Lepisosteus oculatus: one gene and its partner. The protein of the gene in region 2 interacts with the protein of the main gene of each other region in a biochemical or structural test. Links are inferred from orthologs where the notes say so. Each region holds a gene or a part of one and is shown on either strand. Other genes may lie near its edges.

What was found.
Region 1: the proteins of atp7b (region 2) and atox1 form a complex in vitro, tested with the Homo sapiens proteins (3 studies listed by BioGRID and IntAct). The link is inferred for Lepisosteus oculatus from reciprocal best matches to the Homo sapiens genes ATP7B and ATOX1.

Annotation. Positions count from the first base shown.
Region 1 is NC_090706.1:36,045,466-36,052,517, forward strand, and holds atox1 (copper transport protein ATOX1), read right to left. Parts: upstream 2,958-7,052; 5' UTR 2,822-2,957; coding exon 2,816-2,821; intron 2,653-2,815; coding exon 2,577-2,652; intron 1,741-2,576; coding exon 1,616-1,740; 3' UTR 1,594-1,615; intron 731-1,593; 3' UTR 510-730; downstream 1-509. Other genes in the region: slc36a1 (proton-coupled amino acid transporter 1), read left to right, coding at 5,715-5,745. UniProt on the Homo sapiens protein: Binds and deliver cytosolic copper to the copper ATPase proteins. May be important in cellular antioxidant defense.
Region 2 is NC_090710.1:30,595,265-30,602,163, forward strand, and holds the start of atp7b (copper-transporting ATPase 2), read right to left. Parts: upstream 3,025-6,899; 5' UTR 2,042-3,024; coding exon 1,799-2,041; intron 1-1,798. UniProt on the Homo sapiens protein: Copper ion transmembrane transporter involved in the export of copper out of the cells. It is involved in copper homeostasis in the liver, where it ensures the efflux of copper from hepatocytes into the bile in response to copper overload.

The DNA.
Region 1 (7,052 bases), on a different chromosome or scaffold from region 2:
GTATCATACAAAACAGTTTTACATTTTATTGGTTTAGGTTTAAGTTTATTGGTTTAGACATGCGGTTTTGTACTACAAATGACATACTACTTCATAAAACATTTATGACAGTTCCTAGCTTTTTATGTAGGCTCTATGGAGAATGTCATGTAGGCATTTTATACAATTATGCATTGTTTGTGAATTAGCTATTTAAAAATATCAAATTCAAGTATAATTAACACTACCTTTCTGAGAACAGTAAGGTCTCCCACTCACCTGAAATCATGCTAATTTGTTTAAATACAGCTGGTATGAAAGCTGTAGGTTTCATTACTTCAGTAGTTAAATCTGGGTGGCAACATAGTTTCAAGACTAAAAATAAGAAAATCTAAATATAATATAATCACGTATACGTATACCTAACGGCAGAAAGAGAAGAAAATGGTGCAGTCTATTTGAAAAGACGGCTTGGGTTATTTAAGAGAATAAATATGGCATATCCTTTTTTTTTTAAATAAAACAAGACGTGTTTAACAATATTTTAATTGCAAAATAGCCTTTTAACAATATAGAAGTCAGTGGCACAAATGCTGATGAAGAGAAACAAAGCTTTCGAAAGCTTCAATGGTCCCCCACAGCCCATGACACTGATGGAAAGTTCACTTCACACGGCGAGTTTATTCTGCAAACTGCAAACACAAAGGCTGACCTTCTTTTCCTTCATAGCACCAGGGCATGCATAAGACACCTGTTGAGGAGCAAAAAGCAAAACAGATTCAGTATTTATGATATGAAATACAAGTCCTTGTTTCCTTTTGTAGACATCTAAAAACAAATTGTGAAGAGGTGAAACTGACTGAAAAAAATATTCCTTTACGTCCAAAAACGTTCCCCCACAGTTGCTGCAAACATTCCTCCATCTGCAACTTTACCCTTTTGTGTTTGAAGAAGTGGAGAATTCTTGTACCAACAGCTTTTTTTGAAAATGGAAATTCAAACTCCATTTGTCCAAACAGTTAAGACACCTAAAGAGACTCTCAGACTAACATCCCGAAAATTTTAAATGACAACTTCATTTGTGTTATTTTCTTTTGCTGATAAAACGTATGGGCCTAGCATGGTGATAGGACTAGATTAAAAATATGTATAGCGGCTAATTAACCCCCCTGTATATCATGATTTCACTGCAATTTCCCTCACGGGATCAATAAAGTATCGATCTATCTATGATCCTGCATTATCTTAAAAGATTGAAAGATACCTCCACAGTGTAAAGGTCTTTAAAGACGTCTTCTCCACTTGATATGGCCTAGCAAAAGAGGTCATTTGTTTTCTAACACTGTAAGAAAATTGCAGTTTGTGTATTTGATGGCCATGGACTACCTGATACTGGTATTAAAGGTCTGTCCTTATCTAGCAAACTTAACTTGTGCCAGTTATAGTATAGTCAAAACTGTACTCCCATAGTGCTGTGGAATGATCAAAGTTTAATGACCTAGATCAATAATGAACAGGTAGCCGTTATCAACACATGGTAACTATGCAATGTTACAAGTAAAGCTAATCAAAACCAGAATTCTCAATAAGATGTTCAAAATAACCCCTTTTCACCTGCTTATATTGGAAGAGTGATTCATTTTGGACCAATATACGTTACAGTTTTCCCCGTCTTCTTCAGAGTTTCAATAAGAACTTCTACACTCTGCTCAGACTCAATAAAAACCTTCTTATTGGGAAGGTCAATGTCAAATTTCACACCTATGAAAAAGAATAAAAGGAACTGAATGAGATCCTTGGGACAGGCAATGAATTAATATTGCAACGAAAAATTACTAGAAAAATCTGGTATGCAAATATATCGTAAATAAATTATATAGGTACTGTATATTCTACTGATGGAGGGGAAAGGGCAATGTTATGTTTTTGAATTTTTAAAAGTGCATAACAAACTGGACAAAATTGTCGTAACATTGCATTGCGTTATTAAATAACTATCAACGGTTACAAAAGACAACCTGCAAGAATGTAATAAAAAGGTCATAACGACACAAAAACTAGAAGATATAACACACTCAGCATGCACTGAGAGGAAAGAGCAATGAATAGAAGTAGAAGCGGTGTGAGGGCCTTTTAAAACATTATGGCAAAAACTAAACATTACATTATGGTGAATTAGCTTATGAAGATGGACACGCTAAATGTACTTTATTTTTCTTACTAAAAGCCTTTTTAATATCAATGTATATAGTGTATGTATAACCAGAGTAAAAAATACACAAAATATGACTACACATACACTTCTATCGTATGTGTAATCATGTGGAAAATTCAGTCATGTGATTGCTCCAAGTCTCTTCTCAAGAAACCCGTTAGTTAGCAGGAAATCGGATACTTTTTTACTATGTAAAACAATTACAGGTCAGGCAATAGATTTAATTTTCCGAGGAAATCAGATACTTTTATCACGCTATCTGGCTTTCGGTTTGGTGCCACTGTCACACTGCAACTGCGGTCTTTCGGCATCAGGCACTCCCTGTTGTTAATAACACCACGCACCCAGGGAATAAAAGTGAAAACTCATGGGTAGGACTTGCCTTGCAGTTTATTGAGAACGCGAGTCACAGCGCCTGAACACCCTTCGCAGGTCATATCCACGAAAAACTCGTGCTTCTGTCGGGAAGGAATCCAATCCATTATTTCATTACACCGGGTCATTTCATATTCCAACACTGCAATGATCCAGTCAAAGGCCTGGATTCACAAATAAGCAATAACTAACGCCATGCAATATAGACACCGTCAACATAAAACTTCTCGTCGTGTAGCTACTTGCCTGCATATTTCCTTTCCAAATATCAGTTACACCGTTCGACCCTCTTCAACTTTCCCGTCTGCGACTGTGTACTTTCATCACAAGTAAAATGCTTTAATAGTCTTCCCAGCGATCAGCCCCCTTTCCAGAAACAGGAGTCAGCAATGCTCGTTTTAGGGACGGTCATCAAGGTTCATCTGCATTTCGTGAACCAGAACTTGAATTAGAATACAGATAAATCTGCCTGATCTGGAGTAAATGTATCATGATGCATAAAAAATAGACATTATCTACAACATAAATATTTTCTGTTTGTTGCTTTTCACGATTCAGACATGAATATTGTTAGGGGAAAAAGATGAGTGAAATGATGACATTCCCTTCTACTATTATCGAGGCGCCAGGAAGACTTGTGGTACCTCAAGCATGGCTGTGGGTGGCGCTGAGTTCTCCCCTAAATCATTAATTTGCAGAAAAGTAGTTAACCCATTAGAAGCGACATTTTGAAATAATAAATAAGCATATGTGTCGATTTAATAATAGTAGTTTAATGTTCATCCACAGTAAATTCAGATGCATTTATTTAACTATTTAAACGACAGCCAAAAAACATAATACAAATAATAATAATAATAATAATAATAATAAAAATATTTTTTATTATACAATATTATTTATAAACGCTTCAAAAAACGCAAATTCTGTTAAACAACACACGCAAATAGAAGATTTTAAAATAAAATGTACACATCTAATCTGTATGTTAAAAAATAGAAAATTATTTTCACTGGAAAATGAAAGTTGGGGGATGCATTACATCCGCTACACTAATGACGAAGACTAGAAAAAAAAACCTGTCTAAAACCCGTCCACGCATTGCAGCAACTGTTTTTAAGGTTGATATGCCCATAAAGTGATTTTTTTCTTAACATGTGGACCTCCATTCTTTCACTCGGTGAGGTAAACTTCCTGGTATCCATGGAGAAGGAGTCGGGTCAGCTGACCTTCACGAGGCGGGGAAGTCACGTGATCCGGCGGCTCGGAGACTCGGGAAGCTGAACGCGAGATTTTGGTGCCGCTGAGCCGCGGTAACGCGACGAGAAAACACGACCCCGGTAAAGATGGTGTGAAAACATCTCCGCGGCGTTGATCACAGGTAACACTAGGCACTCTATGGCTGTGCCTTGCACCGATCGTTTCTGCATGCTGATTGGATTGAGCAGTGTTAGGGAAAGCAATTAGTATGCAAAGTGCTAGGATGCAAATCGTGCTAACACACGCTAGGATAAGGATCTAACATGCAAGATGACCGATAAAGCAGTCTAGATGCTCGGATGTTGCTTACTCCGCATTTGTTGCTCACCACGTCAAATAGTTTAGCCACCGGGCTAAAGGTATGTGTGACGATTCTTTACCATATCTGACAGGGCTTCAGGAGAATGTATCAAAGGTACCTGTTCTAGTACTTAAAAGTTCTTGCAATTGGAAACGTCTTTTCTTGATACGCTCGTATATTATGATGTACGTTTAAAGGCCAGCTGTTGGATTTTATTGAGATAGTGGAACCTTTCCATTGTATTCACCTAGTAACACTGTGTCTAGTATTATGATGGTTTTATCCTTGTGCTGTAACTTAAATCATTTGTTTTTTATTCTGGTTGTGAAAAACGTAAACTTGAGTCGCTTTGTAAAATGAAATGATGAAGGAAATTAAGTGCAGGGCATTCCATGTGCAAAGTCCTGGAAGCCAGTCCAAAACGTGTTAAATACGGGATTAGCTCAACAGATGCACATGATCCCATACATTTTTAGGCGCAAGTGTATTTTACACTGCAACTATATACCCCCAAGGGAAATACAAATGAAAGCGAAAACTACTCAATTATTATCATTTTAAGGAGGAGCGAATAAGTCAGAATGTTTTTCATTTTAGTTTAAATACAATGACTGCTTCTCACGACTGCGAAATCTGTTTTTTGCTGCTGCTGACTGACTCGTGGAAGAGATGTTCTCAGGTGCTTGGATTGTGAGCTTTTCAGCTAATGATTCACACCTGTGAATCACAACAATGATAATGTTGATTATTTAGTCTTTGGATGGGCTAAGGTACCATTCACTTAAAAATAAAATGACTAGTGGTGTCATAACAATCTATTTACACTTTTCATTGAAACTGACAACAGTTTTTATAGATTTTCTGTGACGAGGAATAAACATTAGCTTCTATTTGCTTGATTTAATTATTTCACATGGCTTCCCACTTCAGAATTGACCATTCTGTCATAGTAAGTTCTGCCTCAGGCATTAGAAGTTCAGACTGCAGTGTTGACAAGTCCTATAAACCACTATTACTTATTTAAAATAGAGTTTTTAGAACCAATTTGCTCACGAGTCTCTTTACTTGTCTCCCGTAAGCCTTGGCATTTTGGATTTAAAAAACACTTAGCCCTGAAAAATAACCTTACATCTGAACTAGTTTTATTTTTCTTCACTAGAAAACCTAGCTCTTTCTAGTAAAATAGCAGTTTAAATATTACTACTCTGACAATGTTATTCTGAAGTTATTGAAGACGAGGTCAACTTTCCTAACATATGGTATTTCACTGTTGTCGTGAAGTGAATCAGTGACAACGTGTTTACTATGTTAAATTAAAATTGGGAGCCTATTAAAAACAGGCAAAAGGTGGAATGGCAGCTTGTCTTTCTTTTCTGAAACAACACCCGATGCTGTTAATAAAATTGCATTACTCTGAGTCTGTGCTTGTATCTGATGTCCTGAGCTGCTGACCTTATTAGAGCAATCATATGTTGCTTTCTTCCTATTATAGAAGCTCTTCTGTTTGAATGCAGGGCGTTTGGAGTGGATTCCCTCAGGTAACAGTGAAGCTCAGATTGTAAAGTGGTAACCTCAGGACTACACATGACTACAGACGGCGCTAACAGCATCAATGGTAATCCACTTTATTCAAGTTTTATGACCTATGAGTCAGAGCTGGTAAGGCTGAAATATTGTTGGTCTTCAACCTAAAAGTGGTCTTGTTTTCCTTCTGATGCATTTTGGTTTAAAAAGCAACACTTATTTCACCTTAGAGAATGTATATGCGGTAAGACCATGAGACCGTAAGGGAAAGTCCCTAGAGATAGAAAAGGTCACAATTTTGTTTCCTGAACTGTACTGAAAATCAAAAAACAGTTTTGGGTGGGTGGCTCATTCCATGTTGAAAGGAAAAGAAGAGAGAGACAAGTTTTTGGCTGTGGAGCAACAGAAACAAACCCATTCAATAAGTTTCTCTGTATTCTCTTGGGAATCATTTAAGATGCCACACAAAAAACTGACTAGAAATGAATTAGGAGTTAAGAGTTAGGGATAAGGGACAAGTAGAATGTCAGAGAATGTGTATTTCAGATTGTTGTTTTGTAAGAAAAAGGCTGAAGGCTAGAATGCAACCTGACTGAAGATCTTATTATTGCACAATTCCTGGTACACTTTGCTGCAATTATAGCATAATATGTCACATACGTCCTCCTGACACGTTTAAACTCCCTTTAAATAATGATCGTTTTAAAATATTTAGGAATCTTTAGCGTTAGCCATTATGATGCCTATAAAATTAGACTAATGCGTGGATTAAAGTACATCCATAAATTACAATCCAAGAACACTTGGTGTTCATCAGGTTATGGCTTTGTAGTTTGCAAATGATAAATTCATTCACTTTTTTTTCCTTAAACTGACCCGGGACCAATTCCCAAGATCAGAATTACAGATAGTTCAAACACCTATAATGCTACTCCTCAGTATTGTAATTATAATATGGAAAAGAAATTGAACTGTTTCAGTAGACTGTCCTCAGGATTTCTCCCTTTTCACTGCAGTGATAACTAATGAAATGTTGTTGATCAGGCTGTATACCTCCCTCCAATTTGTGAAACTATTTTAATTAACAAAACAGTTGTCAAACTGCATAAGATAATGGGGCATGTATGTACCTTAATACATAAGGTTATTTGTGCACAGAATAAATATTTAATCAAAGTGTTCAATTTCTGTTTTATATTTTAAATAGTACTTTCATGTTATCTTAGTTTCCATCTTAACTCTGTGATTATGCACACACCACCTGGATCTCTTTGGTGTTATGAATCTCTCTTTTGTGACTTGAATTGTGCTACCATGACTCATGGTACAATATGCTCCGAGAAACTGCACTGGGCTTGCCAGTATTTGGTTCTTCCGTTTACAAATGTTCCTAATGCG
Region 2 (6,899 bases):
TGGGCAAACAGCCGATAAAAAAAAATATTCCAAAATCACAAAGGTGTTGACAAAGTCAAGTCGGTGTCCACCTTCAGAATGAACAGTGAAGCGTGAACCAGAGTACATCAGTGGAAACTACACGGAAAAACGTTTAAAACTGAGAACATGCAGCAATTTCTTTTTACCCCAGGGGCTGTTGGAGTATGGAACAAGCTACCCGCCTTGCTATTAAAGCCAATATCTGGCTTCGTTCAAGAAATGGCAGGGGGAGATTCTTCTATCAATAAGCTACTAACGTCCTCATGGCCCAAATGAACCAAACGTCCTCATTTGTAACCTTTCTTAGCCCATTTGAGTCCCCGTTAAGGTGTTGGAACAGGACAAAAAGCTTGACTTCTCCAGCTGCAAACCTAGATGGAGAGAATGGTATTGAATGAACAAAAGCACAGTGTGGAACGGGGTTGATCAAACTGTTGTTAAACTGTTAGAGGCTCTTCTAAGGTACAGGAAAGGAGCCTGATCGTCTCCCAGCACTGTGATGCTACTTAAAGTCAAACTCATCTGTTTGCCCTGACTCCTGACTCATGAATGAAGCCGTCATTTGCAATCGGCCTCTTACCAAAACATGCATCTCTCTTTGTAAACACTTTGGTAACCCTGCTGTACGTTTTCTTGGTTCTGAGAAAATAAAGTTCAAAGGTACCCCTCTAAAAATTGCCACACATTTTAGGACACTAAGTTTCAAAAGAAGCAGTCGGACAAAAAGTCAATGTTTGTGTGTGCCTGGTAAACTCTTTGCACACTGTGAATAAAAGATAAGTTCTGCACTCAGGAGGACTTTTGAGAAATCACCTTCAGAGCTAAAACTCATTTGGAAGTGGTCATGCAAACGGAGGCATTTTGTTGTTATAATCAAGAGGTAATTTATTATATAAAATTAAACTGCAATAATTTCAGAAGGGATCATATCAATCTTGCAGCCTACTGTATGTAAAGTCCTCCGTTTGCCCGCTTATTTTGTGAGGCTTTAGATAGGGAGAAAAAATGTATTATTTATATATTTTATATTTACTGTCTTATTCTGGATTTATTTAACAAACAGAAAACAAAACCAATTCACAGTTTTGATCCCAGTGTTTCAAACAAAAAAATACTGTACATGGGGCATCTTTCAGGCCTCTTGAAACTCCTCTGCACGAAGGCACATGATGCGGTTCAATCAGCTATATCCGATCCAAACCATTTCCCCTCCACAAGAACCAAAGCTTACAAAGCTTGTGAGGAAGCCATACAGGACACTTCACTCTTGCCTATAAACCCTAAATGACGAATCAAAGGTTAATTTGGTGAAATTGACAGTCTTGTGCACTGATTGTCTCACACTTTCTCTCAGTACCATACTAACAACTTTGCCTATGTTTACTGAGCTTATTAAAAACCGCAAACCCACATACTGTAAGAAACACAGATCTCCTCTCACACCTGTTCTGAGCTGATTCCTTTCTAAATACGCCCAATGTACATGATTTGCAAACAATTTCTAAAGAAGACACAGGCTAGCCAATCGATGAAATCCTAACCTTCTAACCCGAACTGCTTAGACTGCCTTTTTTTTTGCAACAGGTAATCATATACATAATCCAGTATATACAGGAGTAAATATATAGTAATGATAAACCTCATCATTCTGACAAATCTACTGAGTTTACCAGCAATGAAACAAAACCTTTAAAAATATAAGCTCAATTCTGCTGTACAGAACTTGGGCGCTGCGTTGAATATTTTCCCCCCGTGTTACCATGATTGTTGCACTGACCTGGTCTTTGACACTTTCTTTTCCTGAACAACTCGCCTCCAGTTGCGGACGGAGGTCCCTTCGCTCGCCCGGCTCAGAGCCCGGGCTGCCCGCTGCAGCGGCGCAGCGCGGCCGGCCGGAGGGACAGGCGCCTGGGGTCGCCTCCTCGGCAGCCCGTCCCGGAGCCGGGTTCCTGAACCCCGCGGGGCTGGGCTTCTGAACGTATGTGGATAAGCGAATCACGCTGGGTGAAGACTCTTTCATCTTGTTGTTGTTGTTGTGGGGTTGTTCTTTGAAGAAAAAAAGCTGTAAATTGAATGTTACGGCCCCTGCGGTGGTTTTAATCGCCCGCAGTACAGCGCCTATAGGCTGTCACCTGGGCTCCGGGCGGGCGTGAGCGTGTGTGCTCGCTTATCTGGCTCAGCGCTGCCTTTTGAACTGTTGCAGACCGCACTTCACGGCTCTGCCGAGCGCACGGCGCTCTCAGCTCCCGATCACTCCCAATCGGTGGAGGTCGACGGTACTGCTCATCGTGGCACGGGTTTTTTTTTTTTCTTCCTGTTTTGCACTCGTAACCTCTGTCAAATCCGTGTCGTTCCTACCAGCCGGGCTCTCACGGCGGGCGAGCTCCGCGGCTCAGTCTGGGCGGAGAAGCCGTGTGCGGACGCCCGGCTGCGGAAAGGGGTTTCTGAACGTTGCGTGACTGAGTGCCGCAGGAAAACCCGTCTTAGTCTGCAGCCTTGTTGCTACAAACACGAGAACTAGCTCGAGTTTTGCTGTATTCATAGCAACAGCAACAAAAAAACAGCCTTACTAGAAAACCTGACTTTAAAAAAGCTGCTCATGTTTCTTGGGACGAAGCGCTACGTATACATTCAGATCCTAACATACTGTATATCGCTCTGTTCAATCCCCCCAAAAAAAACATTTTGGGCCATTCTGTTTTACACTGTACTCATCCTTGTCCTTGTCATTGTATTTCCATTGCAAGGCTGAACTATGCCTTCCCGTGCTGTTTTAAACTACTCTTAAATAAAAAAATGACCCAATTGTAACCCCCCCCCCCAAAAAAAAAAAACAAAACAAAAAATAAAACAAAACCTACGTGGGAAAAATAAAAACGTGTTGTCAGTGTCTTTGCCCTTTCTGCAGAATTCCCCTTTACAAGCGACACGACCAAATCTACACGAACTGCAAGTTTCGAGCTCTGGTTTGGTCTTTTCTTCCCGTTGAATACACACATATCCGATCCAAACCATTTCCCCTCCACAAGAACCAAAGCTTACAAAGCTTGTGAGGAAGCCATACAGGACATCTCATGCCTATAAACCCTAAATGACGAATCAAAGGTTAATTTGGTGAAATTGACAGTCTTGCGCACTGATTGATTCTCTCAGTACCATACTAACAACTTTGCCTGTGTTTACTGAGCTTATTAAAACCGCAAACCCACATACTGTAAGAAACACTGATCTCCTCTCACACCTGTTCTGAGCTGATTCCTTTCGAAATACGCCCAATGTACATGATTTGCAAACAATTTCTAAAGAAGACACAGGCTAGCCAATCGATGAAATCCTAACCTTCTAACCCGAACTGCTTAGACTGCCTTTTTTTTTGCAACAGGTAATCATATACATAAGCCAGTATATACAGTATATACGGCACTCAGTCACGCAACGTTCAGAAACCCCTTTCCGTAGCCGGGCGTCTGCACACGGCTTCTCCGCCCAGACCGAGCCGCGGAGCTCGCTCACACACGAAAAAAAAATGGACAAACCAGCGGCAGAGGTTTCTGCTTTCATGCTGGAAACAGCTGGAACTGCGCCACAAACCAAGAGCCTTTTCGGAGCCGCTCTCTCCCAGCTGTCAGGATGGCCGAGTGGTCTAAGGCGCCAGACTCAAGGTTTCGATGCCTTCCGTGAGCGATGGGTGTTCTGGTCTCCGAATGGAGGCGTGGGTTCGAATCCCACTTCTGACAAGTGTTTTACTTTTTTCCCCTCCCCAGCCATTCACATTTTTGTTCTCCCTCAATCCTGTACTCACAAAATGCAAAACCCTGAGATTTTACCAAATAAATCGACGTCGCGTGTAAAAGGCGCGGGACTGAATACATTTTATACTATACGATTTTGCCAGGTATTCAAAGGGTTTAATCTAGATGGGTAATTTTGAATTTGTTGGAAAAAAAAACAACCCGATTGCGTTACGTGTGTTGTAATAACGAATATAATGTGATATGATAATTTAAATATATATATATTCGGTATTCCTCTTTAGATCGAAGATCGTTCTTCCGTGTTTGCAGCAGTGAGTCCAACAGGAGGCGCCAGAACAAGGATTTCAGGTTGAAAAAACATTAATGAAATTCGTGTAGGCTAGTGAACTGCAGTGATAGTAACAGTCGTTGACCTTTAGCGCAGAGCAGTGAACAGCGCTGAATGATTGTCCTAAACGTAGCTGTCCCACTTCTCCAAGCGTGACTCAATTTAAATGCAACGCACTACCTCAAGGAAAGCAAGTTTTTTCATTACTCTAAATCTGAAGAGGCAGAAGAGATATGATGTAGGACGAAAAGCAGAAGTTATCGGGAATTGTTTAAAAAAATCGGTATCTGTCAATCTATGTTAGTAAAGTTTTTTTTATATAAGACAAAGTTGGTCTGCGTCCTTCTTCAGAAAAATAAACCGTATTCCTGACTTGGTTTTCTCCCCAACAAATTATCCGAAGAGACAGATTCAGCTTATTCATCAATGTTCACCTAAAACATTGTCAACTTGCGTTCTGGCCTACTTCACTCGCAACCTCGTCTTCTGAATTCAACACTTTCAAAACCAATCAAAGATCTTTTTGGTAGATGCAGGCAGCGCCTTCTCGCTTTACCATTGCGTGTAAATGTGAAGTCGAAAAACGTGTAAAAAAACGTAAAAATGCTCGTCAAGAGCACCGCATCCGCAACACTTAAGTCAGTGTAGGACAGTGTCATAAAATGACATGCTCTAACCGAAGAAAAAAAAGTGCTGCTTTCGCACTGATGAGTTGTATCATATCGTATGTAAAATACATGCCCCGGTGTTTCTGTCGACATTGTCTCCCATCGCAGATTACAATAGGAATGTTGAAAATCACAGTTGGCACATGACACAGCTACACCCAGGTTTTATCATGCAAACTGCAGAATACTGCAAAAATATTTTCTTCGTATAATAGTTCTCCAATGAGTACTTCGCTATAGCCAAAAATATATCCACCACATTGTAAAATGCTGGTATTTCCATCCTTTTGCGTACTGTCAAAACATATGTGAAAACAAGACAAATTGTGCCCAAAAGGATAGCGTTTTGCATGAAGCAAAAACAATAACAACAGTTTTATTTCTGCACTCAAATAAGTGCAGAATAAAGTGTTATATATTTGTGTAAACAACTTTTTGTCAACATTTAAGTTAATAAACCCTGATGCTCGCTTCCTCTACCACGATAATTATTCACAGCACACAGCCTCTGTCTTCGGAATCAATTTTCCAGAACACAATTCTCTGCTTAAAAGTGAAATGTCACGGGAAATAACATTAAAGTGTCTCATTTTATACAAACAGAACAAAGAAACAAAACACTGTATTGGTAGCTATATTTTTCATTCCACATCGAGGTATTATTGATTAAATCTGTCAAAGATCTCTGCATCTCCGGAAAATGCTTTCCTTACGGAAAAAAAAAAACTAATTGTGTTCATCATGTAGGGCTAATGTAGTGTGCTGCCTCTAATTAGTAGCAAAACGTAATCCTGCTGTAAATGACATCTTTATGAAGCGCATTTCCAAAACACGATGGAGTGCATGCATTTGAGTAGGCCTATAGCGTTTTCCAAATAACACATGAAATATTTTCAAACATATTTTCCTTTTGGTCGAAATGTTTATTCAGAGACCGTCATGCAGTTTAATTACAAGTTCATTTTGCCTGTCACACACATAAACCACCCAGGCATCTAAATCTCTCTACTAATATAGTTAAAAGAGCTTACCATGTATATTTGGTGTTTGACCCGCAATGTTCTTTCGAAGGCGCCGTACATGGTGACTGGAAGGGATTTTAATTTGAAAAATCAGCGAAAGCCGATCGTGACTTGCCTCGCTGCATTCCGTCTGCATTCCGTCTGAAAGTAGCTCATAGGGCCTCGAAAAGTAACTCTAGCGCTGGCCACATGACTGTCACAGACATCTCATTGCTTTCCAAATACATTATCTACTTAAATTACAAAGAATGAAAGTAACTGCAGGAATGCTGTTACATGAATCGGGACAATGATTTGTCCGTTCAACAATTCACGAAAAGTTCAACAACAACAACAACAACAACAACAACAACAAAAAACCCACTGTGAGACCTCTTGTTACAGCAGACGGGCCATTAGCTGGTGACTCGTCAGGGCGCGATTTTTATCCAAGAATTGTGGAAAACCATGCACGAGTGTGGCAATGGAAAACGAGGCACATCTTTGTCACATTAGAGGGACTTTCTGCCGGTACAACCGCAGAACAATACATCTCATCGCACTTAAGTGGGCTATTTAATGTCGATAAAGCGTTATAAACAGTTGTTAAAATGATAGTGGTGAATAACGAAAATAAAAACTGCTATTTATAACATATCCTTCCACACTCGAGGACGAGGAGATTATGTCAAAATGTAACCTGATGAAAAAACGAAGCAACGCTCAATCAAAGCCACTTGTGTTTCCTTGGCTGTGTCGCTTTTCTTCCAAGAATCGCAATCAAGAAAACAATGCACCATATTATAGAAGCTGCCTTTGGCGTTAACATGACACCTTTTGTGTGTTAAGATGTTTTCTTTTTGCGAAATATAAGACCCATTGCGGGCCGTTCCGTCATTCGGGGTGCTGGAGCTTTGTCCGAGTTCAGCTGTATGAATGCGCAGGCTTTCAGAAGCGGAGAAAACTCGCTCCTCCACTCTTTATTGTTACGGGCACTAACCGAAGTGTGTGGAAGAGGCTCCTTGCTAAAATAATTTAAAAAATAAAATAAAATGAGCCAGAATCAAATCAAATCAAATCAAAGTTTATTTATCCAATGCACAACATTACAGCGTGCAGCAGTAGT